Linked DNA regions of Drosophila melanogaster. The gene in region 1 interacts genetically with each later gene. Each region holds a gene or a part of one and is shown on either strand. Other genes may lie near its edges.

The links.
Region 2: of Rho1 (region 1) and fz, changing one suppresses a phenotype caused by changing the other (phenotypic suppression), as found in Drosophila melanogaster (3 studies listed by BioGRID).
Region 3: of Rho1 (region 1) and RhoGEF64C, changing one suppresses a phenotype caused by changing the other (phenotypic suppression), as found in Drosophila melanogaster (2 studies listed by BioGRID).

What each region holds. Positions count from the first base shown.
Region 1 is NT_033778.4:16,099,340-16,108,925, reverse strand, and holds Rho1 (Rho1), read right to left. Parts: upstream 6,240-9,586; 5' UTR 6,034-6,239; exon of another isoform or gene 5,977-6,033; intron 5,830-5,976; exon of another isoform or gene 5,618-5,829; intron 5,461-5,617; exon of another isoform or gene 5,316-5,460; 5' UTR 5,308-5,315; coding exon 5,152-5,307; intron 3,894-5,151; coding exon 3,744-3,893; intron 3,210-3,743; coding exon 3,129-3,209; intron 3,067-3,128; coding exon 2,875-3,066; 3' UTR 1,697-2,874; downstream 1-1,696. Other genes in the region: Ric (Ras-related protein interacting with calmodulin), read left to right, coding at 1-169; CG8414 (uncharacterized protein), read left to right, coding at 6,399-6,816, 6,876-7,091, 7,145-9,232, 9,291-9,556. UniProt on the Drosophila melanogaster protein: Has a role in regulating actin cytoskeletal organization: required during early development for proper execution of morphogenetic movements of individual cells and groups of cells important for the formation of the embryonic body plan.
Region 2 is NT_037436.4:14,271,265-14,278,757, reverse strand, and holds the start of fz (frizzled), read right to left. Parts: upstream 4,416-7,493; 5' UTR 3,704-4,415; coding exon 3,032-3,703; intron 1-3,031. UniProt on the Drosophila melanogaster protein: Receptor for Wnt proteins.
Region 3 is NT_037436.4:4,689,717-4,697,197, forward strand, and holds the start of RhoGEF64C (Rho guanine nucleotide exchange factor at 64C), read left to right. Parts: upstream 1-3,066; 5' UTR 3,067-3,689; intron 3,690-4,488; exon of another isoform or gene 4,489-4,606; coding exon of another isoform or gene 4,607-5,023; exon of another isoform or gene 5,024-5,129; intron 5,130-7,481. Other genes in the region: CG18418 (uncharacterized protein), read right to left, coding at 1-273; CG15876 (uncharacterized protein), read right to left, coding at 4,607-5,023.

The DNA.
Region 1 (9,586 bases):
CGACGAGGCATTCTACACGTTGGTCCGCGAGATTCGACGCAAGGAAATGCACAAGGCCCTGGGCACGGACTCCAATTCGGAAAAGATTCACACGGGGCGACGAAGTCGCTGGTGGCGCATCCGATCCATTTTCGCATTGGTTTTCCGGCGCAGACGAAACCTTAACTAGACCAGGAGGCGGATTCCTTGAAATGAGTGCAATATTAACCACAAAAACCAAGTAACTTTTGTTTGCTATATTTTGTATATAGCACATACCCATCAGATACAACATACAAAAGAGAAATTAACCGATCGAGGAGCAGATAACTAATTGTTATGGCCACAGTGGTTTATTTATTATTTGTTATGGAAACTATTTAAAGTACTTGTTGTTGGCCGGAAAGGATAGCGAGGCAGTAGATCAGCGATAGAGTATATCAATACGTTTAAGCACCGATCCAAAAGATACATATTAACAATGCACGTACATATGTTTATGTAGTAAATATTACTAATGTTGATTCCTAGACGAGAGCGATTAAGCAAGTGTGGCAATTGGCTAAAGCTCAAAAGCATTTAAATTCAGCAAGATCGAGGGGTCGAGTCTTCCCCCACTAACAATCTGAACAACTCTGAATCCTAGCCAGGAGATTAACCCAAAAGCCAATTGCCAGGTGCGAAGGGCAGAGAATTGGAGGATTTTTAAACTTATGTATGTACGTATTTACCCAGAATACACGCACATGACATACGTTACACGAGCCACACATTTAACTAATCGAATAAATGTTGAATTTAATGTATACTAATATTATAAATCGATCGATCGACCTAAGAAGTATGTAAAACGCGGGAACATTGCAAATTATGAAATATGAATGAGAATGTGCGTTCATTTCAGATCCAAGCCCAAATTGATAATTTAAGTCCACGACAGCCGATGCATTTGTTGTTTAAGTTTGAGAAAAGTCTATTGTTTATATTGTTAAGGACACACGTGTTACGCCTAAGTTTATTTATTATTAGTTTAACGAAATCTGTTGATTACTTTTACCACAAGAAACCACACATCACGTTCTCTAAGCAATCACCATGAGTTCCTCTCATCAATGTTAACTGCATCACCGGAAACAAAATACTAACACGGCTTTAATTACTCTGTTTGTTACATGATCCCAAAAAACAGTTGAATGGACTACCCATAATTACTAATAATTAATTGTTATTGCGAATCCTGCAACCGTTCGAACCAAACAGATCGACTGACGAAAAAAAGAAAAACAACAGCTCCAACACGAAAACGAATCAAATGCGGGTAGAAATATAATAGAATTGCTTTCGCCGCGAAAGTTAAGCGATTAAAAAGTACGTTTTAAGAGAAAAGGCTTGGGAACTAGATGTTCAAAGCAATGTGTCGTGTCCATGTTGTTTCGAAAACGACATACCTGTTCGGGAATAATATTGTGAAACCTAATACCTAATCGATGAAAAACCAAAACATTTTGATTCATAATGTTATGTACATTTTAAATGTAAAAAAAAAAATTAAATACAAAAGCACAAAATAAACAAAAACAATACCCTCAATAAAGATTTTTTTAACCCCGTTAAAGATAAGTGTTTTGACTTTAAAGGGCGGGTATTCCCCGGATTTAAATCCATTATCTTAGCCTAATAAAATTCGATGCCCGGCCAAATAAGAAAACAGTTAGTTAAACCAAGAGTAGATCAAATGTACTGTTTATTCATAAGTATAATATAGTTTGGTTGTATCTGATGCATCTTCGAGTTTTTCAACTTCTGTGTGAGAATTACACGATTGACGGTACAAAATACAAAAAAAGAGACATACACATATGTACTGTATAGTATAATTATATGTATAATCGTATTTTATAAAATCATAAAATACTCTTCATATAGTTGTTTGGTTGTTTTGTAGTATCTTTTTTTTTTTATGTTTTCCACTCGTTTTAATGCAAAGTACAAATATTAAAAACTCGCTTAATGCGCTCGAAATAGTTTTTCACTTCATCAAAAATTTTCCCTCTTAGCATCTCCCACGCGAAAACTGAATGCATCTCATTTGTGGCTTACGTTTAGTTAAATAAACATTTATCGTTTTTGTTTTGTTTTGTTTTGTGTTTAGTTCGGCTCTTGTAATGTAGTTTCGCTTCCAACTCCTATTGGCGGCCTGGTCTCTCTGTATTTGATAGATTTAATGGGAACATAACTCTCATCTTGACGCCTACGACCTCCTTGGACCCCGGGATCCAACATCCGATTCCGTTTCCGATTCTGTTCCTAATTCCACTGATTCACCTGACTCACTCACCCTCGCATACGACACAATCTCGTCCAGCCACAGCCGACTCTACACTTGACAACACAGTTAACGAAATAATAACATACATCTAGGAGGAGGGGGTGGACAGAAACGGACACAACTTGAATATGTTTACATATATCGATATATATTTTTTGCTTGCAGTGGCTGACTGATTGATCTGCTCTGCCCTAGTTTTTACAAATAATAATGCCAGAGTTATTACTGTTGTTTACTTCGGTTTATAACTACACTAGACTGTATATAAAATCAAATCCGCATTTGACATTCTACTTGGTGCTGCCTTCCCTTATATCTCGCTGCATCCCTCCTCCGCTGATCTTCTAGCTCAAGCTCTCTGTTTTCTGCTCATGTTTGTTGCTGGTTGGGTGGTGGTGCAGCTTCGTGTATCCGATGTTCTGGTTGTTCTTGATGTTGTTGTTGAGTGGTTGTTGTTCAGCTCGTTATTGTTGTAAAAGGTGTGTATGTGTGTTTGTGTGTGTTTATGCTGTTGTTTTTGCTGTGTGTGTGTGTGGTAAAGATTTTCATGTTGTTGATTTGCTCTTTTAGAGCAAAAGGCATCTGGTCTTCTTCCTCTTTTTGACTTGCAGCGCGGCCCTAGTTGCCGTCTCGAAAACATCTCGCACACCCTCCTTGGACTTAGCCGAACACTCCAAATAGGCAAAGGCATTAATCTTCTCGGCCATGGCGCGACCCTCCTGCGGCTTCACCGGCTCCTGCTTCATTTTTGCTAGATCCTGTAAAATCAAGTTTAGTTTAGTGCTGCAAGTTCACCTCGTTCAACAGCGCGTATACGTACCCGAATTGTGTTGGGATCATTTCGCAAATCTTTCTTATTTCCTACCAAAATGATTGGAACATTTGGACAAAAGTGTTTGACCTGCAATAATGTAGTAAGGATTAGTATCATATTTTGATATCAGATTCCATATAGTCGAACTGCAAAAACAAGTAATTCGTAATTGGGAACCACTTACTTTCTTCTTATCTATATCTATCATTATAAATTAAAGGCTGAGAAGTAAGGAAATGATTCAGAAAGTCAAAGCAAATTGGCTCATAGCAGACTATTTTTAGTGATTAAACTAGAAATAACCAACAATTCTATTAAACTTTCCTCGTTCTAAACCAAAACCAGTCTTTCAGATAGCTTCAATGACATAAACAAGAACACAGAGATGCATAGTCTTAAAGATTCCATATCATAAGCAAATGCATTCGATAACTTCAAAAATGTTTAATATATTTTAACTGGAGTTAAAAGTTCAACTTTTTCCAAATTTGCATCATTACATAAAAATTAAAAACATATTTTGTCTAGACTTGTTAGTTCCGTATAGTATATATATATATAGTACCATACTTGTTTACGATCGTCTGATAGAAACTGTTCTGTAATTCCAGTTAAACTCACCTCTGGGGTCCATTTTTCAGGAATATTTTCTAGCGAATCGGGTGAATCCACTGAGAAACACATCAGTATGACGTCAGTGTCGGGATAGCTCAGCGGTCGTAGTCTGTCGTAGTCCTCCTGCCCGGCCGTATCCCACAAGGCCAGCTCCACCTGGAGAATCGGATGCGGATTATGATTGAGAGTTACGCTTGCAGTTGCGGTGTCGTCAGGGTTATAGATAGATGGGGCTTTTTGTGGCACGGGACGGTGCGATGCGGGCTCGGAGGAGAATGGGACAAGTTCGAGTTGAAGATAGCATGAGTGCGAGTACGAGAGTGTGAGCAAGGAACTTGACGGAAATGCCAAACGAATTAATCACATCGAAGCGAGGCGAAGTGGAATGACGTGAACTTGTGTGTATGTAAACGCTATCCAAACAGAAACACAAACAGAAACTGAAAATTGAAAACCCGCCATATTGCGCAGCAAAGGCAAACACACAGTGTTTATTTCGAAAAAAAGCGCCTGAAAATACTGTAGATCCCAAATGGAATATATGAACGAACATATAGCCAAATCATGACTTGATGCCCCAATGGAAAACGCACATTACATTCCATAGAGTAAGGGAGTGCGCGGTGGAGCGGGAGAGCGCTCCCCCCCCTTAGAAGAGAGTACAGGTAGGCAGGGAGAAAGAGTAAGAGTGAGAGCGCCCGAGAGAGCAGCAGAAAGAGCGGGGGGCGGCGCAACGCATTAAACTGTATGTGCGCAACGGACTTGTATAAGACAAATACAAAATAAAAAGAAAAGAAAACGAGCGGAAGGAAGGGAGCAGCACTACTTCTGTGTGTGTGTGTGTGCTGCCAACTCTCTGTTGAGCATGTGTGCGTGTAAGTGTGGGGAAATGTGCCCAAGTGTGACTTAATCACTGCTATCAAAACTTTGAATTCTTCGGAAAAATCCAAATTTGCACTCCACTTAACCAAAAATGATCTTAATTTTTCTTTTGCTTTTCCAGACACCTTTATTTATGGATGCGTCTGTGGGCATGAGGCGATATTGACTCATTTCATTTTACAGGCGAAGAAAAGGAAATACAACGACCAAGGTGTGGGTGAAGTTGTGGGTGGCACAAACAAGAGAACAATAAACACACACCCATGGGAACACACACCCGCACACACACACACACACACACACACACACACAGAGGCGGGTGGAAAGTGTAAGGAGGATACGCGCACTTGAAAAACGGAATGAATTGAGAATGCACACAAATTATAAAACGAGATCAGACGATTATCACTTGGATGGCAGGGTGGGGTTATCAGGGGAGGGGGGTCAGCCACCGGTTGGGGGTGGCATTCAGAGTGGTGGACGGGACGGGTAGTTAGGGGAGGGGCGGGCCTGTCCGGGAAAAGGGGCTTACCTGTTTGCCATCCACCTCGATGTCGGCCACATAATTCTCGAATACGGTGGGCACATAGACCTCGGGGAACTGATCTTTGCTGAAGACAATCAGAAGGCAAGTTTTACCGCAGGCACCGTCGCCGACAATTACCAATTTCTTGCGAATCGTCGTCATTGGAAGTTCTGCAAAAGGCAAAATCAAACTGTAGCTAGATGCAATGCAAGTGCAGCGGATGCCCGAGGATTCCGAGTCCGATTCTGAATCCGAATACAATTTTCGATTCCGAATCCGAGTCAGCCGTTCTGTTTTATATATTCGCGAAAACTGAACGAGCGCCTGTTCAAAAAATTATCAAAATGAAAAAGCCACACACACACTCGCATACAGTCACACGCACACTGGTGGACACACAGCACAAATACACTCGCGCGCTCGCTCTCTTTTCCGATAGCCCTCTCCCGCTCGCGCACACACTTAGTCATACTTGCGGCTGGACGGCGATCTAATAGTATAAAGTGTGGGGTTCTTTCTTATCTGGCCATTGTCCATTGTCCGTTAGCCGAGTTTTTCCCGTTTTTCTTTACGGTTTTTCGCATTCGCATTTTCATTTTGGTCGCGTCATAGGGCCGCCCGCTTCTCCACCCCTCTCTCCAACACTCCAGGAAACTCCTCTCTCCGCGCCCGTCCCGCTCACACTTTATTCCAAAAACATCTCATCATCCACTCTCGGTATGGCTGTGTGTGTGTGTGTGTGCGTGTGTCTGTTCGCCTCTGGCTGGGCGTGCGTGCATTTGTGTGCGTGCTGTGTGGAATTTTTTCACTTCTGCTCTTTCGGCCACTTACAATTTATATTGGTGATTTCACAACACTCAGCACGAATTCGACACTTAATTTGCTTACAAAATGGCACAAATTTGTTGATTCTTATGCGTCTACCGTTTAGCTATATCGTATAAAAGTTAATGCAATTACAAAAATTCGAATTGAACTCGACGATTTTTTCCCATGCAAAATGACGATGAACAATGTTCATCCGTTTCATTTCTCGGTAGCGGGATGAACGCTCGATGACCAACCAACGCCTTCGAGCGCAGGGCTGTTATTAACCCAATCGATAGTTCTCATCGATGGCAACTCTGTGCGCGTTATTCCCATGACCGACCACGACTGGTAACACCGCACATATGTTATTCTTGCTCTTCTTCTTAAATTTGCGGTCGCATGGCCCGGGAAGTATTGGTAGTTCAGCAAAAAACTGAAAAGGAATGCTTGACGAACATATTCTGAAAGAAATGAAACTGAGCTTCCAGCTCACCGAACAGCGAGAACTAGCCTCTGGTCGCCGTAAGCCGGAAAAACCACAACACCCACCTGCTGTTCCAAAGAAAAAAGTTATTTCAAAGGTGGCCAGCAATCCTGCAAAGATTTCGGAAACAATGATTCAAAAAGCCCAGATGGAGTCGCCCAAAAAATCCAAGAAAAATAAGACAGCCGGCGCAAAGAGACCTCTTTCCAATAATGTGTCGAATCCAGACAGTTCACCATCCCAGAAGAGGCTTAAAAAGGATAATACCCTACCCAAAAAGAATCCTGTAAATAAATCCTCAAATGTTGCAGCTAAAAAATCTGCAGCAACAAGCAAAAGTGCTAAGCTTCCTATTCCCAAGGTTCATAGTATAAATGGTATGCATTAGATCCAGAATTACAACCTCATTTTATTTTAATATATATGTATTTTTCAGAATTAGCTCCTAAGAAAACCAAAGTCAAGACGCCAAATAAAACAAAAGAAGCAAGTTTATCTAAGAAACATAAGGTAAATGGAAACAAGAGCTCAATGAAGGTCGTACAAAATGGTAAAGTAGTAGAGATAATTGGTACTGCAGCGGAAACAAGTGACATTGAAATGAATTCATTGGATGATTGGAGTGAAGAAGACGATTATTTAATTGAAAGTGGTAAGGAATTTTTAATATTACTCTTGTTTCTTAACTTAAACTATGTTTTTTAGACTCTGAAAACGATGTAGTTGAAGAAATAGACGAGACATTTCTTAAAGATCCAAAGATTTTTAAGGTCAAATGCAAAGGCCCCGAATACAAGTTATCAGATATTCTTCCTCCTTTTGAACACGATGAATACCAACCTCTTTTGTTGGATGGGGATGGCAGTGGAACAGTTCGAAAGATTAAGGTATTTAAAAGTGCACAGGAAGAAACTGACAGCGACGAAGATGACATTGATTATGAGCCAGAAGATAGCGATGACTTTGGATCGGAGGAATTTGACAGCGAAGAGTCTGACAGTGAAGACACAAGCAGCGCAGACTATGATAGTGATGGAGATTTCTACAGTGAATATAGCGATATGGAGGATGTTAGTGACAGCGATAGTGAAGAATTCGGAAGCGATATCTTCGACACCGACGACCTCGATTCAACTTATGAGCCACCTGACATTGAGGGATTCTTCGATCATCCACCTGTGGGTATGCAAAGAGAGCCGCTTATTATAGAGGAAATCTTCGACGATCCGCCTGTGGAAAAAAAGCAAGAACGTATTGAACAGTCAAGTGTTATGGATATTGTTGTAAAAAACTTAAGCAGTGTGCCCCCAAAGAAGGAGTCTGAAGTTGCAATTGAAACCGAAGAGAATGATGAGGTATCACTGCCTGAAGTTGTAACACCAGAAAAGGAAAATTATCTCCAACCAAGCGATGTCCCGTTTTACAGAAATCCGCAAGCGAATCCCACTGAGCTTAGCGTCTTTGAGAACAGTCTGAAGAGCAATCATGTGCTGGCCGTGATTAAGGAGGACCTCGAAGTTTATGGCACACTAGTGTTGACTCTACTCTGTGGTCAAATATCAGTAAATGGTTACAGAGCACGCAGGCAGGAAGCAATCACAATTTATTCTCCTAAAGGCCTTAATTGGGTATCTATTTCGCCAACCAAGACTAAAAAACCTGTAAAAGATGAGGTAAATTGGGAAGAACTCAACAAGAACTTTACACGCGCCCAGCTAGACAGGATTAAGACCAGCTTTCAGCGTCAGACGAATGCAATAGTACTGCTCCACCGAAACACAAGTGCCCAGCAGCTCGTCGATACCTTTGGCAAGCACATGGCGCAAAATGTATTCCCACTTGTCAATTCTTCCAATCGACCATTTGGCCAAAGTGAAACCCTGTTGCACTGTCTGATTCAATCGAGCGATCAAAGTCGCACTCTCCAAGTTCCGCAGGTTTGGAATAAGTTACAAATGCATGCAACGAGCCGAATAATCGTAGCCGGTGGTAAGGGCGTCGGAAAGTCTAGTTTATTGCGTTACCTCATCAACCGAAATCTGGGTCAATTCCCATCCATGCTGCTCATCGACCTGGACATTGGTCAGCCGGAAATATTTGTACCCCAGACTATTTCTTGCACCGTAATTGATGAGCCCCTTCTGGGACCGGGCTTCCTGTACAACAGGCAGCCGGAACATGCCATTGTCGTGGGCCACACCAACATTGTCTTGTGCGCAGAGCAGTATGCCCGAGCAGTTATTCAGCTAGTCCAAAACATTCAGAACGATGCCAAGTATTCAAATATTCCTTGGCTGATAAATACGATGGGCTATAATAAGGGATTTGGTATCGAATTGATGGCTCTGCTGGTGGATCGCATTCGTCCCACGGATCTTGTACAGATTGCCAGTCCCATTCCAATCAATAACTTTGATTCTGTCCTCGACCGGAACAGTCTGTCGCAGATAAAACCAATTATATACTCTGCGGAGGAGTTCAAGATCAATGAAATACCAAAATACACACTCCATAAGCTGATAAGTGCAGTGCCTGCAAGGGAAAAAGGAACTTGGAGTCTCAGCGCCAAGGACATGCGGTACTCCAATCTTCTGGCACGTCTCAGTTCCTGCCTGACTGGAAATGCCAAATCTCTTACAGACTGCCAGCCGTTGGGAGTGTCTTTGGAATCCCTGAAAATCCTGCATCCCACCAGCAAGAATTACTCGCGCGAAGAACTGATTCGAGGCATGGAGGCTAATGTAGTATATCTGTGCCATCACGGAGCAGGTCTGCCCCAATGTTTGGGAATAGGTTTGTACACATTCACGTTCTTTTGTGGCTTATTAATTGAATTCCAAAATTCTTTTAGGTGTGGTTCGCGCCATCGACTACGAGCGCAAGGAGTTATACCTGGTGCCAGCAATGCCGCTACAAAAGATGTCCCTGGTGGATTGTCTTATCCTCGGCGGGGAACAGTCCCTGCCGCAGGGCTTCCTTCGGGATCAGGGCCAAGGTGTGTCCAGCAGTGTGCCCTTCGTGTTCATCCTTGACGATTCGAAATCTTCGAAGAGTATTCAGCAGATCTACCATCGAGCGCCAGCCTTTCTGGGAGTACCAGCGAATCAACGAAACTAAAACTGAGCTTACTGTAGCAATCGCAATCGG
Region 2 (7,493 bases), on another chromosome or scaffold:
AACTGAGATAAGACTGCAAGCAAATATACTATGATCAACAAAAAAGTTATCGATTGATCCCTTCAGAAATCGTATTCTATAGAATTGTATTATAACAAATATTCTTATGTGACATACATATATGAGATGAAGTCTGTAGTGATCCTTTAGATTTTTGTTCATTCTGCCAATTGTTTTGAAATTACTGTTCAGCTCAACTGTTTGAGTGTCTATATTTTCCCAACGAAAAATCGTTGGTATTTGTGTTTATGTCTTCAATATCCTACTGAGCTTCCCATTTACTTCCGGCCATCATTATCCCTTTTCCGTGTCGAATTCCACCGAAACGTATACCATTAGATGACGTCAAAACCTTTTCAGAGCAAACAGATTACTGCGGGGCAATGTCCGATTGATGGCTACATGTGTAGACAACTGGGCAACCAGACGAACGCCACCCACCGCCCACCGCCCACTTTTATCCAGAATGCCCGTGCCCCGATTGCAAACACCGCCTAACCCATGGCGGCCGAAAATAAATTAATCAAAGAGCGCGAAAGGACAACAGTTTAGTTTGCGGAAAGGCGGGAAGGATTTCAGTTTGGTTGTTTAGGAAATCGTAAATCCATTAAAAGCCTCATTTAGAACGCTTTCGACGCATTTAGAGGGGGTGAAGTGAAAGAGAATCAGTCCGATTTGGGGATTATTTGTAGGCCCTAAATTGATTCATCCGGAGCGGAGACTCGCCCCCAACCAGGACTTTTAATTGTGAACGAATCCGTAATTGATTGTGCCCTCTTATGACTGCTGGCTTTCCACTCAGTTTCCTTTCAGATGGAAAACAGATTTTCCTACCCCGCACCGCAGCCTTTGCATAATGGATTCGGGGCAAGAAAAGGCCAAGAAAAAGGACTGTGAAATGCGGCAAAAGGGTTGAGTTGTGTCATGCCCTACGGGTTTTCGCCTATGATTATTTCAGCACAGACTGAGGGAATTTTCAACTAATTCCATTCGGCATTTCGCACTCTAATTCATCCGGCCGTGTTTTGCCCTTTGGTTTGGGTAATTGATTTGCGAAATTACATATTTTGTATGCCAGATTTTTGTTGGCACGAATTTCAACGAGAGTGACTGGTTAATTTAGTCAAAAAGGTCTGACTGACAAGCAAATCGGAAAATTTCAAAGAGGAAAATTGAAAAATTAGCCCAGATGAATGGAATTAATATTTAATATACTCTGCTGAATTTAGGAAACATGTTAAAAGTTGGCTTTGGGTTAAATCGTTCAAAGGTGTCGGGCAATAATGTTATTTTAGGAATTCGAGATGAAATAGCCAATCGACAATTGTGTTTTCACAGCTCGGTTTGAATAGAATAACTTTTAGTAATAGTCTTTTCTAATATCAATCAATATTTCTCTGGGTTAAAATATAGTTCTTTGTCTATTAATCATAAAGTTTATAATTTTGATTTCGACCAATTTCTTATCTGTACCTGTGGAGCCCTTATAAAACGCTTGTTAATACCACTAGTTTCTAACATGGCAATTATATGTTTATATTGTCGGATCATTATCTATCCAATAAGCATTAATTCACGCTCTCACACTGCGCCATTATCATTAGCAGACAAAGAGACCTATCTAGCTCATAAAGCACGGCAAACAGGGCCAAAACACACAGAGATACAGATACGGATTCATTTGCAGATACTCTTACAGACAGAATCGTGATGTGGGCCAAATGCAATCCAGGCAAACAAGCTGCTAAATTTCGCACGCAGCTCTCAAAAGGCATTTAAGCACGGGGTCTGGGGACTCCGGCTAAACCAAAGATGCTGACAGCCATGATGATATGGGGATGGAAAGAAGGCAGCAAGGCCAAGAGGAACTGATGACACACAGCCAAGGAAAAACGAGACCAATCAAGAAAAAGCGAGTGAGACGAAAGAAGAAAAAACACCGAGAAATCGCAATGGTAAAGTAGCTAAGAGATACACATGTATCCGCCAGATATCCAGACACTGAGGGAAGTGTGAATTATCCTGCCTCAAAGTATTTAATGCGCTTTACTTATGGCAGCCGGCAACAACAGAGTGACGGCTAAAAATAGCAAAAGATAAACACATTGGAAACACATAGACGATGATCATCACTCATCCAAAACCAACAGAAAATAAATCGTGGAAAAATCAGTCTGCTGAGGGGCTTAAGAACCCGAAAAAAAGCTGCTAAAGGAAAAGGGTGGAAAATTAATTAAAGAACGTGAAAATGCAACAGGCTGACCCTCAGTTCAAGTTATTAAACATTCTATGGTTCATGTTACATTTTTTTTTTACTTTTTTTGGGAATACTTTTAAGCAGGCATTACAAATTACACAACTCCAAAAAGAACTGGTTTACCTTTCCTCAACCGAAGCCAAAGAAAAAACGATCTACCTGCCGCTGTTAACCATCTTTTGTGAGCTGCGGGCAGGTAGAATGCGGGCTCGTCGCCCTTCTCTCCTTCTTCTCGTTATTCCTGGCCTGCCAAGGACCTCCTGCTGTTTTCCCTGGTGGTTGGAAATTGTTTTCTCGGCGCAACAGGATTTGCATTTTTCCCTACTTCTACGCTGCTCTACAAATTGAGTCTGGAGTTCAAATGAAGACATAAAAAAATCATTGACCTACATGGGACCAACCCAAATGTGGCATATTAAGTTCCAGAAATAAACGAAATACTCACTAAAAGGCTTGGGGTACTTAAAGCATACATTTAGTCAAGAAAGCGCTAAATACATTCGCTAAACAGATGTTAGTACCCAAAATTTATTTGTGCAACTTCGTTTTTAGTTTGGACATGGTTAAAAGTTTGTGCTCACCCGACGGATGATTATAGAACTTGTTTTTAACTTTTGTCATAATCATAACATGTTTAATCATAAAATTAAATGCATAAATAATAGAAAACTAATGTTTTAAAAGGTATACAGTATGCGCCTATAACCCCCTATTTTTATATGATGCTTATTTTTCGGCGCTTTTTAGTGAATTTATTTTCATTAAAGAACTTACCTTTCCGCCAACTTTTAGTTCGTAGCCCATTCCCAGAGGCGTTTTCAGTTGCACGGGGCACACGAATCCAATGTTTCGGTGCGGACTTTCTACGCCCGTCTGGTGTTTACGGGTAGTGACCTTAGCCACACTCCTTGTGGGCGTGGCCGCCGTGGAGGCCGATGATGTGGTATTCTCCGCCACGCACAAATCCTCGCCTCCATGGACGGGAAATTTGGAGCACTCCAGATTTTCCGGCCAGTTAAAGTTGTAGGTTTTCATTAACTTTTCACATACCCGCGCCGATTCGCACAGAGATCGACAAGGCGGAATGGGTCGCTCCAAAATTGTGCAGACCGGAACGTACAGGGAACAGAGGAACAACTGGAGGTCATCACTGCAGCCGATCTTCACGAGCGGAGCAAACTGATGGACCTCCAGACCCGCCTCCTCCTGCTTGGTATGGCCAATAAGATTTGGCATAATGGTCATGTTATATGGTATATTCTTGCAGATCGATATGGTGATGGGTTCACAGCGATTGTGATGTGGCAGTCCATCTAGTTCGGTCCCAGAACTGGCCATTAATCCCCCGCCGCTGCGATAATACGGACTCGCATCGAGGGGGCTCTGATCGTAGCGCTGGACCCCCTGTATCAGGGTGGGTAAAATAAACAGGATTTGACGCCACATTTTGGAATTTTTCGATATCGCTGTCAAATAACTTTTGGGGCTTTTTCTCGATCTCTTTAAACACTTTAAAACACACACATGTTGCTCATCTACTTGCACTCACTTATACACCATTGAATACTTATTTGATTTATTTTCCCTGTTTAAAAACTTCACTCCCACGAAACACTTAACACCTTTTAAATATTTGCCGGCGGCAAATATTTAGTTTGGCCTTATAAGCAAATAATAAATATTTCTCTCTATTCTCTTATTTGCGTTTGCTTTTGCTCTTTATTTTGTTTAGACTTTTTTTGTTATTTTCCGACTTCAATTTGGTTTAACCGTTTGAATTCGACTTTGCTATTTGTTGTTGGCAAAATATTATTGTGTCAAAATTTAATTTTTGGGGGTCTTTAGGACTTAGTAGCGTTGGCTTTTATCTGGCACAGTACCGGGCTTTACTTTTCTAGCAGCCACATTTTTATCTTGCTGTATGCACATACATAAGTACCGTTAGCTGTATATCATTTATGCCTCCCCCGCTTTTTGAATTTCCTTATTTCTTTCACTTTTTCGAAAACCGCGCAAAAAAATAACTGAACAAACACGGAGTCGAATTCAACTTTTTCGCACGGGACTTACGTTAAAAGACGAAAACGGAGCCGGAGTTCGAGTCGAAATCAATCCGCGAGCACATCCGCATGGTAGGGCATACGCTGACAAACTGAGGAACTGAAAACATGGGGCTCTTTCCAAGCCGCTCTCTCACCGTATCGTTCTCCTGCTCACACGCTGAATATGCGCTCTTTCGCTCGAATGGTGTGAGAGGAGGTTTTATTCAGCTATACGCTTTGTAGTATAGCACTGGGGGCGACCTTGAATTTGACACTCTCGGCGGGAGAGCCAGAGAGCCAAAGAGAGCGAAGTGAAAGACAGGGCTGTTATGCCTTTTGTTTGGATGCTGTCTCGCTCGCACTCTGTCTCCTCTCAACTTCTTGGCCTCCTGTTGATTAGCAGACAGGAAAAAGAAAGCATCAACAAACAACTAAATAAGAGACCATTTAATTAATTAGAATTCAAGATGATTATGCAATCGACAGGGCTAATAGGAAATTAGGGGCGGAAGCTGTGCCCAAATCTAGGTGTTGGGCCCGCTCAATGGAAATTTGAACATCGATATTCACTTTGTAAATACTTAAATATTTATAGATTCCAATTTAAATATTAATTAATTAACCATTTTTTCGATATAATAAATTATAACCAATCTTATGCTTATAAAATGAATAAAAGAAATAAGTGCTGCATTTAAAATGGCTCCAATATAAAAAGACTAGAATCATTTTGCCAGCAAAAAATCCTTGCTGAAATGGGATACATATCCGAAAACGAAATGAGTATACAACATTTATGTCCGAATGTCAAAAAGTTACAGTGCATGTCAGCTAAATATTTTTCAGTTTCTAAAATGTCATATTGCTTAGGTCACCGCACCTTCTTATCTTTTTATATCAATCCATCGATGCCCGTTACACTTCCCACTGTTCTTTGGTAATCTTCAGCTGTTGCAAGTGCCGTTAGAAGACATTTGCCCTCTACTGGAATATACCTATAATAATTGCTTTTCTCCAGCTTTCTTCCTCTATAGAAATACATATTTGCACGCGTTAATTTCCTTGATTTCTGCGACAATTTTTATCGTCGACCATTTCTCTGCGCACTTGCATTTACCATTTATCTTTATCTTTAGTTTTTGCTGTTGTTTGTTTACTTGCTCGCTTTTTTCCGGCAGTTAATTAAGTCATTAACTTGCGTTTAATCTGAGCTTTAGCATGAGTGAAGAGAACTTATCGCGGGAATTTGTCTAATGACCCCGTGGTGGATCGCCAAGGGAGGTGTGGGGGGTTAGGCATCTGCTGCCAGTCAATAAACTTGTTATATTGACAATAATGATGACATTAAAGGAGTCTTGGCAGTCTTTTGTCTTTGTCACCTGTAGAACCCTTTTCTCCGATCAGGCTTTCTCTGTCTCTGTCGCTCTCTACTTAACATATCTCTTTCAGCACATAACTGGCTCTCCCGCACTCTCTTTTGCGTTAAACAAGTGTTACCGGTTTAGCCGGCAAAGTTCATTTTATGCTTTGCTCTTTTTATCCGCTCTCTTCTTGGCTCCATCAACCCCAGTTCTCCCCCACCGCCACCTCCTCATCCTATTCTTCGCTTCTACACTTCGTCGGCTTGTTTAATAAAAAGCGCCAAAGTTGCGCCGCATAAAAAGGCTCTTTTTCTCGGTCTCCCCCTTGCAATCGCTAGATACACTTAACAAAAAATTAAAGTACAATTTTCAGATAAATAAGCAGTGCACTTTTAAAATCACTTATATACTATAATAATAAACAAACATATAATTTATAATTTCCGTAGAGGAGCTTGGAATATGTTAAAGGCTACTACTACTAACGATTTTAAGCTGTCTAAGCACATATCTTTCGAATTTCTTCGCTTTAAGATAAAATTTCCCATCAATTCATTATTTACATATATGATAATATTTATGAGTAGATTTTTACTACGATGTGTGGTTACATATCACAAATTTAAATTAAATATTGATATAAATTTTTTTCCAGTGCATGTATGTCTTGGCTTCTGGGTCTCCATTGTTGTTGTTCAGTCGGTTTCCGTTTGCCGCTTGTTGTTGGTATTGCTGCTGTTTTGCAGTTGCCGCTCATTTTATGTTTACAAGTGAACGAACTTTGACGTTTTGCTCTGTGCCTCTCTTTCTCTGTCTGTCTGTGCTCCTCTTCCGCTCCCACTCCTTTGTTGGAAAGTGATTCCGTTGTTGTTGTCATTCTGCCGTGTCTGTTTTTGGAATATGTAATTTAATGTAATTAAAATGGTATAAAGGGTAAAAATAACACCCCGAATGCAGATGAACTTCATTAGATAAGCGAAAGGAAAATTGAATTAGCAGCGACTTCTTTCTCACCTATTTTCATTCATGCTGTTTAGGGAATAATTGGTTTTAATGGCAGTTAATAAGGGTTTTAGGAAGCATGCTATTTATGGAAATTAGAACTTAGAACAAGCCTTTAATAAATTCTTTATTTCCTTTTTATTACTACTACTATAAACTTGGTAGTGCAAAATCGTTTTAACAAAAATTCTTATATATGTAAATCTTATGCTTTAAATCCAAACGATTAAAATGCAAATAAGTTATTAACAAAAATGAAACGTTTAAAAAACTTTTTTCTGAGTGCAGATATTTTTTTTTTTTTTTTTTTTTTTTTTTTTTTAACTTTGCTTTTATTTATTGAATCTTCTTGTATAAGAACTAACAATAAGTTTAAAAATCTTAACTATAACAAGTATTTTTTGAACAGTTGTATTATTTTTCCAACTGTTCTATGTTTAAACGGCCCTAATAATTTATTCGCTGGGTTGGTAGGTCCTTTCGCCGGAGACGGGAACGGCTGCTGAGCTGGATTAGACCTCGCGCTAGGTGGTTGGGGTGCGTGTGAAGCTTGCTATGGTATTTTTCCTTAAGTTCCGTGATTGCGTTGGTAACTGATGGGATATTTAAGTCTCTTTGGATGTTTTCACTCCGAACGTACCACGGTGCCCCAGTGATGGTTCTCAGAATCTTTGATTGTGCTCGCTGAATGATGTCAATATTGCTGTTGCTGGCATTGCCCCATAACTGTGAGCCATAGGTCCAGATTGGTTTCAATATAGAATTGTAGAGCAAGACCTTGTGATCTAGGCTGAGCGGAGAACCAGAGTTGATGAGCCAGTGTAAGTTGTT
Region 3 (7,481 bases), on another chromosome or scaffold:
CATCTTGGCTGATGTGTACGTGGCCTGTCTCAATAGTCCGGCACTCAATCCATTGTACAAGGATAATATCCCCTCGTTCTTCAAAACCTTCGATAGAACCTCAAATGAGTTCTTGTACTCGCGTGTGCCTAAAGTTCCTGATATCTGCATTCGGGTCTTGAGAAGGTCCAACGGCTGGACAATGCATGTGGCCAGCATTCCGGAGGTTCCGCCCATCACGAATTTCATGTGGGTGGGTACCGTCTTCTTTTCAACCCCGTAAACCAGCGCCATGTGGAACAGGACAATTGGAAGATATAATAAGTATGTTTGGGAAAAAGAGATGTGAATTGAGAGTGTATGGTTGGAAACGAGCCAAATTCGTATGTGGGGGTTTTTATGGAGTTGACATCCACAACAAAGCCTTCCACAACAAGCAAGACTTTTTCCCAAAAGATAATTCTTAGAGGTCCTCCACTTGACCATAGTTCTTTCAACCAAAGGAGAGATCCAGTCCATGGAAATGTTCACAACTGCGCGTTGCCTTGCGGATTTGGGTCGTCGTGGCATTGATTTTAATTGTGGCAGTTAACAGGCCAACACCTTTGGCCAATTAACGCACCTCTATAATTTTCCTCACATGCCAGATAATTGTGCCAGTTTTGGGCCACCCACAAATTAACGAGACCCTGGCAAGCGGCTTATTATCTGTCTCGTTGGCAATTCAACCCTTTAACTTCGCCTCCTCGCTTGTCACCCTTTTCCCGCATTGATGAGAGTACACAAAATGGTTAGGCATCGTTGGAAATGCAATTAGAGAGCAACTCAAACCGAAAGAACACTTTACAGGAGGTGCAGACGAGGCCCTCCCAATTAGACAAGCCGAAATTGTTATGTCAGGGTAGGGCAAAAACCAAACCGAATTTCATGTACTCGCAACTGGCGTATCGACAACTCATTGCGGGCTAATTAGGAGCTCATGCGGCGGCAAAGACCAACAAAATATTGCTGGGAAAAACAGAGAAGCGATTGCTGTCGATTTTCTAACCAAGCAAAAGGGGAAATCGCATGCGATAACGCAATTACATCACATTTACCCGCCGAAAAGTATGCAGCGAAACTTCTTATTTGCCAGTTCGTAAAAAGCCCGAATGGCGCCTTAGTGTCTTAATTAACGTTGTTACAGTGATACCTTGTTATAAAATACAATAGACCATAAGTACGCAAACAAAATTGTCCTCAAATAAGCATCGCAATTTTGAATTTATTGTTTACAGCTTTTTTAATTTTTATAGTATTAGTATTTGCTTATACAACCAAGTTACATTTTTCAGAGAACAAATAATTTCTCTTCACATCAAAAACAACACGAAGCTTTGATTGTTGCAATCACTCTTAGTACTCGAATATCAATAGTGTTATCGAGGAACATTTGGCAAATTAAGATAAACATACTCAGAATTCCCTAAAACTTGAGGCGTACTTGTGCTAACTTGGCTAACGATGCAAATGTTGTTATCAAGCAGTTTACAACATAAATACTCTAATTATTTATGTGCATAAGTAAAAGTGGGGCAACAGTCTGCAGCAAATGCAACAGCAACAATAACAATGGCACAATGCAATCAAACAATCAGAGACAAGCTCGCTGAACTGAAATGCCAATTGTGAAAATTGTAAATAAATATTTTAACAGACGACGGCAACAACAAGAAGTCGGGAAACTACAATAAATCAGATCATATCGGCGGCCAACTGCTGCGGTTTCAGTTGTGGTAAATATATATATATAGACATATATAGCTATATATGGCAGATCCAGCAGCAGAGCAGCCCTACAAGCGTGGAAGGCATGGGGCAGGAAAAACTGTGAAAAGCTGAAAGAAAAATCGCAAAAAGCAAACGACACAGCGACAACGATGACAATGCTGATAATGGCCCAAGGAGAAGGTGCGGAGGAGCGGCAGCATTATGGTATCCAAAAGAATAGCCTGGAAACCTCAGAAATTTACGCTCAAGCGAAGCGAGCTGAACCAAACTAAGTTGAGGTGAAGCTGTTGCTAAAAGGAAAATGACAATAACAGCTGCAGTTCCAGCGCCCTGTGTGAGAGCCCAGTAATGACAAAAAACTAACTAGCACACTGAAAAAAATGGATAACTTAGCCATAAAGTTCTCGGACATAAAAAATTATTGGGAGCTGGTTGATGAATAAGTACATTTTATTATCTGTGCATATTGATTTACAGCCTTTTCCAATATACGAAAAAACAAACAACAATGTATTTGTGATTTTGTGAAATATGTTTATTATTATTTTGTTTATTATATAAATTAGAAATTATACAGTTTTCTTAATCTTTATGTATTAAAAATGATTGCCTTAATTATCACTTAGGCTCACGTTAAAATATTCTATCAGTGTAAAAAAAAGCGAGGCATTAAGTACCGAACCGTTAAGAAGTCATTCGAAGTTGGATAGACCAAAAAAAGCTGAGGCGTCTCTAAGCCGCCCTGCGAGTGAGCGAGACCGCAGTAGGTGGTAATTTCTGGAGTAAACAGAGCGAATTCAGAGCTAAGTCCGAAAACAAAACTTCGAGTGAGAGCAGTGAGAGCTGCAATCGTAATTGCGCTGGGCTAGAGAGTAAAAGTCTTTGAGCAAACGAGAGCGTCGAGTAGCGAAAGTTAAAGCCGAATCGTAGAGCAGAGATCAAAAGATCTGTCAGATCTAAATAACAGAAAGAACATCCGAAAACCCAAATCTTTCGGGGAAGTGTGTCATCAAAAAATCGATAATAAAATAATTTTGTGCTTTTCTTACTCTCTCGTTTCCTCATAAGTTCAATGCACAATGAAAAAACAGTTATTTTTGGACAATAAATCAACGGCAACAACAGACTAAAGATTCTAAGCACAAATAAAAAAAAACAACGGCCAGAGTCGAAAGACTCAGGCAACGAACTGCGATCATCGGAGATGAAAATAGAGAGAGAGAGAGAGAGCGCGCGCGATCTGCTTCGTTTTTGCTTTTCGAACTCAGAGCGGCGGACTTTTCGAACTCCAAGCTGTCCGGCAGCTGAAACTTTTGGTCATTCGTCAGTTAACCGTCGTGCAGCTCGAAACGCGACGCGATCTGTTGGATATATGCAATCCAACGGTGATATATAAACACGATTCTTCTTCGCCGAAGAACGAACGTTTTGTGTGTGTTTGTGCAGGTGTTAGTGCGCGGTGTGCGTGTTACCATTTGCATTTTGGCTTTTTAGCTTTTAACTCGCTTTTTTCGTTCCATTTCGCCGCGTTGCATTTGCTCGGCGATTGCATTTCTCGGTTTCTTCGCTTTTGGATCGGCTTTCGTTATTTTTGGTTGAGGCCTTAAAATAGCCTTTGCCGTAATTACTGGGCTGGCCGCAAGAAAACGTGTTTGTGTCTAAACTACAGTTACAACCAGAGCAGCCGTCGCAGCTGCATTTCACTCGAATGTGCTTGCCGAAAAGTAGAAAATATAATAAATAAGAAAGAAAGAAGAGAGTGCTCGCTATATAGAAGGAAAAACGTCACTCGGTGTATACGTTCTTCTTCTATTTGTTCGCCTGTTAACATTGTGCTCATAATTTATTGTACCCAGCGATATGCAAATAGAAAGCAACAAATTTGTACAGCAAGTGGAATATTTCAACGTTTAATTTGGGCCCCGAAGAAACCCAAAAAGGTAAGGCAAATGCATTCTAATAAACGAGAAAATAATATAATGCCAACAAACTATAGATATTATCCCCCCCAATGAGCATAAAGCTAATGAGGTAAATTGTGAAAACATCTGAACTGCTTAGAACTTGATTTGGTTAATATATTCATTAGTATACATTTCTCCCGCTGACGATTTGCATATCAGTTGTCTTCGGTCGCAGGTTCATAACTTCTGCTTCTGTTTTGGCTGGCTAAGAAAGCTTCGGTTAGATCATCGCATCTCACGTTTTTCACCGCCGAATAGATCGATATTCCTGCCTCACTGCGAACCCCTAAATAACACTTGCTGCACGATTGAACTTTAAACCGCATTCTTGGCCCGTCTGCTGCCTGGTTTTCTGTTTTTCTTGGCTCTCTCGGTCGGACGCATCTATCACAGATCGGTGAGTGGTGGCCAATTTTCAATGGATCGATGCTGCCTCGCTCCGTGGGAACTCTTGACTCTTGAGCCCCAGAGTTCGGGCCTGGCATTTTGCGGCACACATTTTAGCCCTGGCTAGCTAGCAAAAACAGAGCCAAAAACAGGCTTACAGAACAGGAATTTCCACTCCTACAACAAATCCGCGGACAATTGACATTTTTGTGTAATTGCCACATTTGTTGTTGTAATTTTGGTTTTTTTTTTCGAATTTTCGCAGATTATTGCCTTTTAATAGTGAATTCGTCGGGCTTAGTTCAAATTTAGCAATTTACATATTTAAATGCATTGTTAATAGCCATTGGAAAACATATTAAGTAAATAATAAAACATTTGGCATTTTGCTTTTATATATTTATTTATTGAATAATTTTCTTAAGAAATCTTCATGTTCAATGATTTTTAATCGTCAACAATTAAGGAAACTAGTAAATTTAAAATTGCAATAGATTAAGTTAAACTTAAACGAAGATCTCCGGTCCGAAGATGTCCATCTTGGAGAACTCTCCTGTGGAGGATCGAGGTTTCGGTGGAGTGCATGGCGCCTTGACACTCACAACGGGGGCGGATGTGTTGGCACTAGCATCGACTTTGTTGACGGAGGAGGAGCGTTTGCGTCGCATGTTCTTGAGCTGATCGCGCAGCTGCTCCTTGTAGACGAGCTCCCTCTTGCAGGCCCTCAGATCCTCCATGCTGCAGTGCTTCATGTGGCGGATGGTGCGGGACACCAGTCCATCGATTATGTGAATCTTGGTGCGGGACAGCCGCGTGGGTTCCGCATGACGGCGGGTCAGCTCGCTCTGGTACTGAAAAAGTAGATAGCCCACGCTCGGACGAGCTCCGCGTCGGTGGTTGGCGTTGTTACGTTGGGCTTCCATTTCAGATAGAATAGCTCCTTTGTTGTTTTTTTTTGTATAGACTTCAAAATGCTGGCTGCGACAGGACAAGCTGTGACTGCTTGGCAGCTTGAGCTGTGAATGATGTCCCTACGTGGTTTACCAGGATTATTTATATCTGGGGCGCTTAGCTACCTGTTGACCCGCCGACTGACCTGCTGACTTGTACGAGTCGCGTAATTACCTGAAGTGCTCCGGTAAAACCAGAGATCCTTCCTCCCTTTTTTGATCCCTTGCCAAGTTGACATCTCAGGCCAAAGATACTGTACATCTTCCTTGCACACATGTGGGTAGTGCTCACCTTGCGCGGCATTTGCTGGGGTGGAAATGGTTTATGGCTTGACCTTTTGCTTTAAGATATTTCAGTTGAGCTGGCGCTGAATAAATATGGGGATAAGGAAAAGATTAAAACGGTGACTAAGTGTCTGAGGATTGCGTTCAAATCGTTTTAAGCTTAGATTAGATAACTGGTGGAAAAGTTATCAATGAAATAAATAAAATTTAAGGTAGCAGAAATGCAGCTGAATGAAATTTAAGTAAAAACCCACAAAAATATTTAAAATTAAAATATTTATGTTAAAGTGGTTATGAAGTTTAAAGATATTTTCATATGTTGTTTCATTAACAATTAAATGAAATATATCATTTTGATTTTTTAATTCATTTACGAATAATAAATTGTAAAAAATTAATTTACTCTATGAAATGTAATAACTTTTCTGAAGTCACATGCTTGTTTTTATTGCTTAAGGATTACGCTCAAATTGTACGAAAGTTTGCCTTTTAAGTCCAATCCCACTGCAACTAAATAAATTCCCTCTCAACTCTCGGCAAATGAAAATCATTTATATTTAATGAGTTGCCATGAAGTGATAAATATAATCCCAAAGTGGCACTCGTCTACTCTTACTCCTGTTTTTTTTTTGTGCCCGACAACCAACCCACTTGTGAAGGACTGCGTGTTAAATATTTATTTATGAACGAATGTCTGCGACCTTGTCTTAACCCCCTTGGTCATAAAAGCGATTTACTGTGGGCTGGTTAGATGGTTTTAAAAATGCTTTTCATGTAATTGTAATTTCACTTAACGTAATTGACACGCGGCCCCCGCTTTTAAAACGCTCCCAATCAAGTTAATTTCAACTTAATTACGAGCGAAGGAAAGTGAAAATTCCCTTTAGCATTGTCTTGTGGCTTATCGAACGAATTCTTCTTAAGACAATTTATTGGCCTGCATTAAGGCCGAAATAATAATAATGCTGGCTATAATAGCTATAACAATGACCAGTGAAAGTTGCTTGGTATTTTATGATAATTCTTTGGTGAGTAAATAAATGATGATTCAATGCCCATTTGGGTGCTAAATGCAAGGGCCGCGAGCTGCGATGCGCCAATGATGATGATGGCGAGATGTAGCCATCATTATGATTGTCTCGTCTGGTTTAATATACGATGGAATAAATGCCTCGACACGCACCGACTTGGTGCCCCACCATCAGATCGAATCCAAAACCAAATCCAAGTCGATTGCAAGTTCATTGAGCGCGTTGAATTGGAAGCTGTCGGCGACTTGTCAAAAGCAGTTGCTCATAATGTCTGCTAGTCAGGTCAGCAACGCTTCGATGGCCTTTTTAGTCAGCCCCTGGGCCACCGTTATGACCTTAGCCCACCAATGTACCTGTCCCTACCTGCATAGCCTACCTTACGATCATAAAATGAGCAGGGGGAGGATAAGGCCGAGTTGCCGCTGCCTTGAGGGGTCATAAAACACTGATGCTGCACATTTGCTTAATCCGGCGCGTGGTCTTTCCCAACGTTCTTAATCCGGTTTCGAAATCCTTTTGTTTTCGCTACATTTCAGCTACTAAGTGCAATTATAAAAGGATTATGCCATCTCCTGACCCAAAGGCACACTCGACCCGAGCATCCACTTTAGTTATGAATTACCTGGAAGTAGTTAAGTCTGTTGCAAAAACTCCCTGGTCTTTCGGGAACTGCAGTTATGCTAATGATTTCCATTTACATACGCTCCTTCCTCTACGACACATGTGTAAATTGACGTACTTTACGTTGATGTCACTCAGGTGCTGAGTCAGAAAATTCTGTTTGCTGTCTTACGTGGAAATGGTTTTTAGTGCTCAGAGCTTCTACGCTGGCGGTTCATTGAGGTTCCCCAAGAATTCCGTGGAACGGTGGCCGGTGAAAGGTCTACTTTGGGTAAAATGCAACGAACAAACAGCGAAACACAACTTCTTGGGAGTTATACTAGGAATTTGTCGGAATGCATGGGAAAAGCGATGGGAAGCGCTATTACAAAGCTCACAGAACATTCTTTGTTATAATAAATTACCTTAAGCATCTTGTTAACACATATTTGTACCAATTATTAAATAACTATACATGCATAGATTTAAAATATGAGAAGTTATACTTATACTAT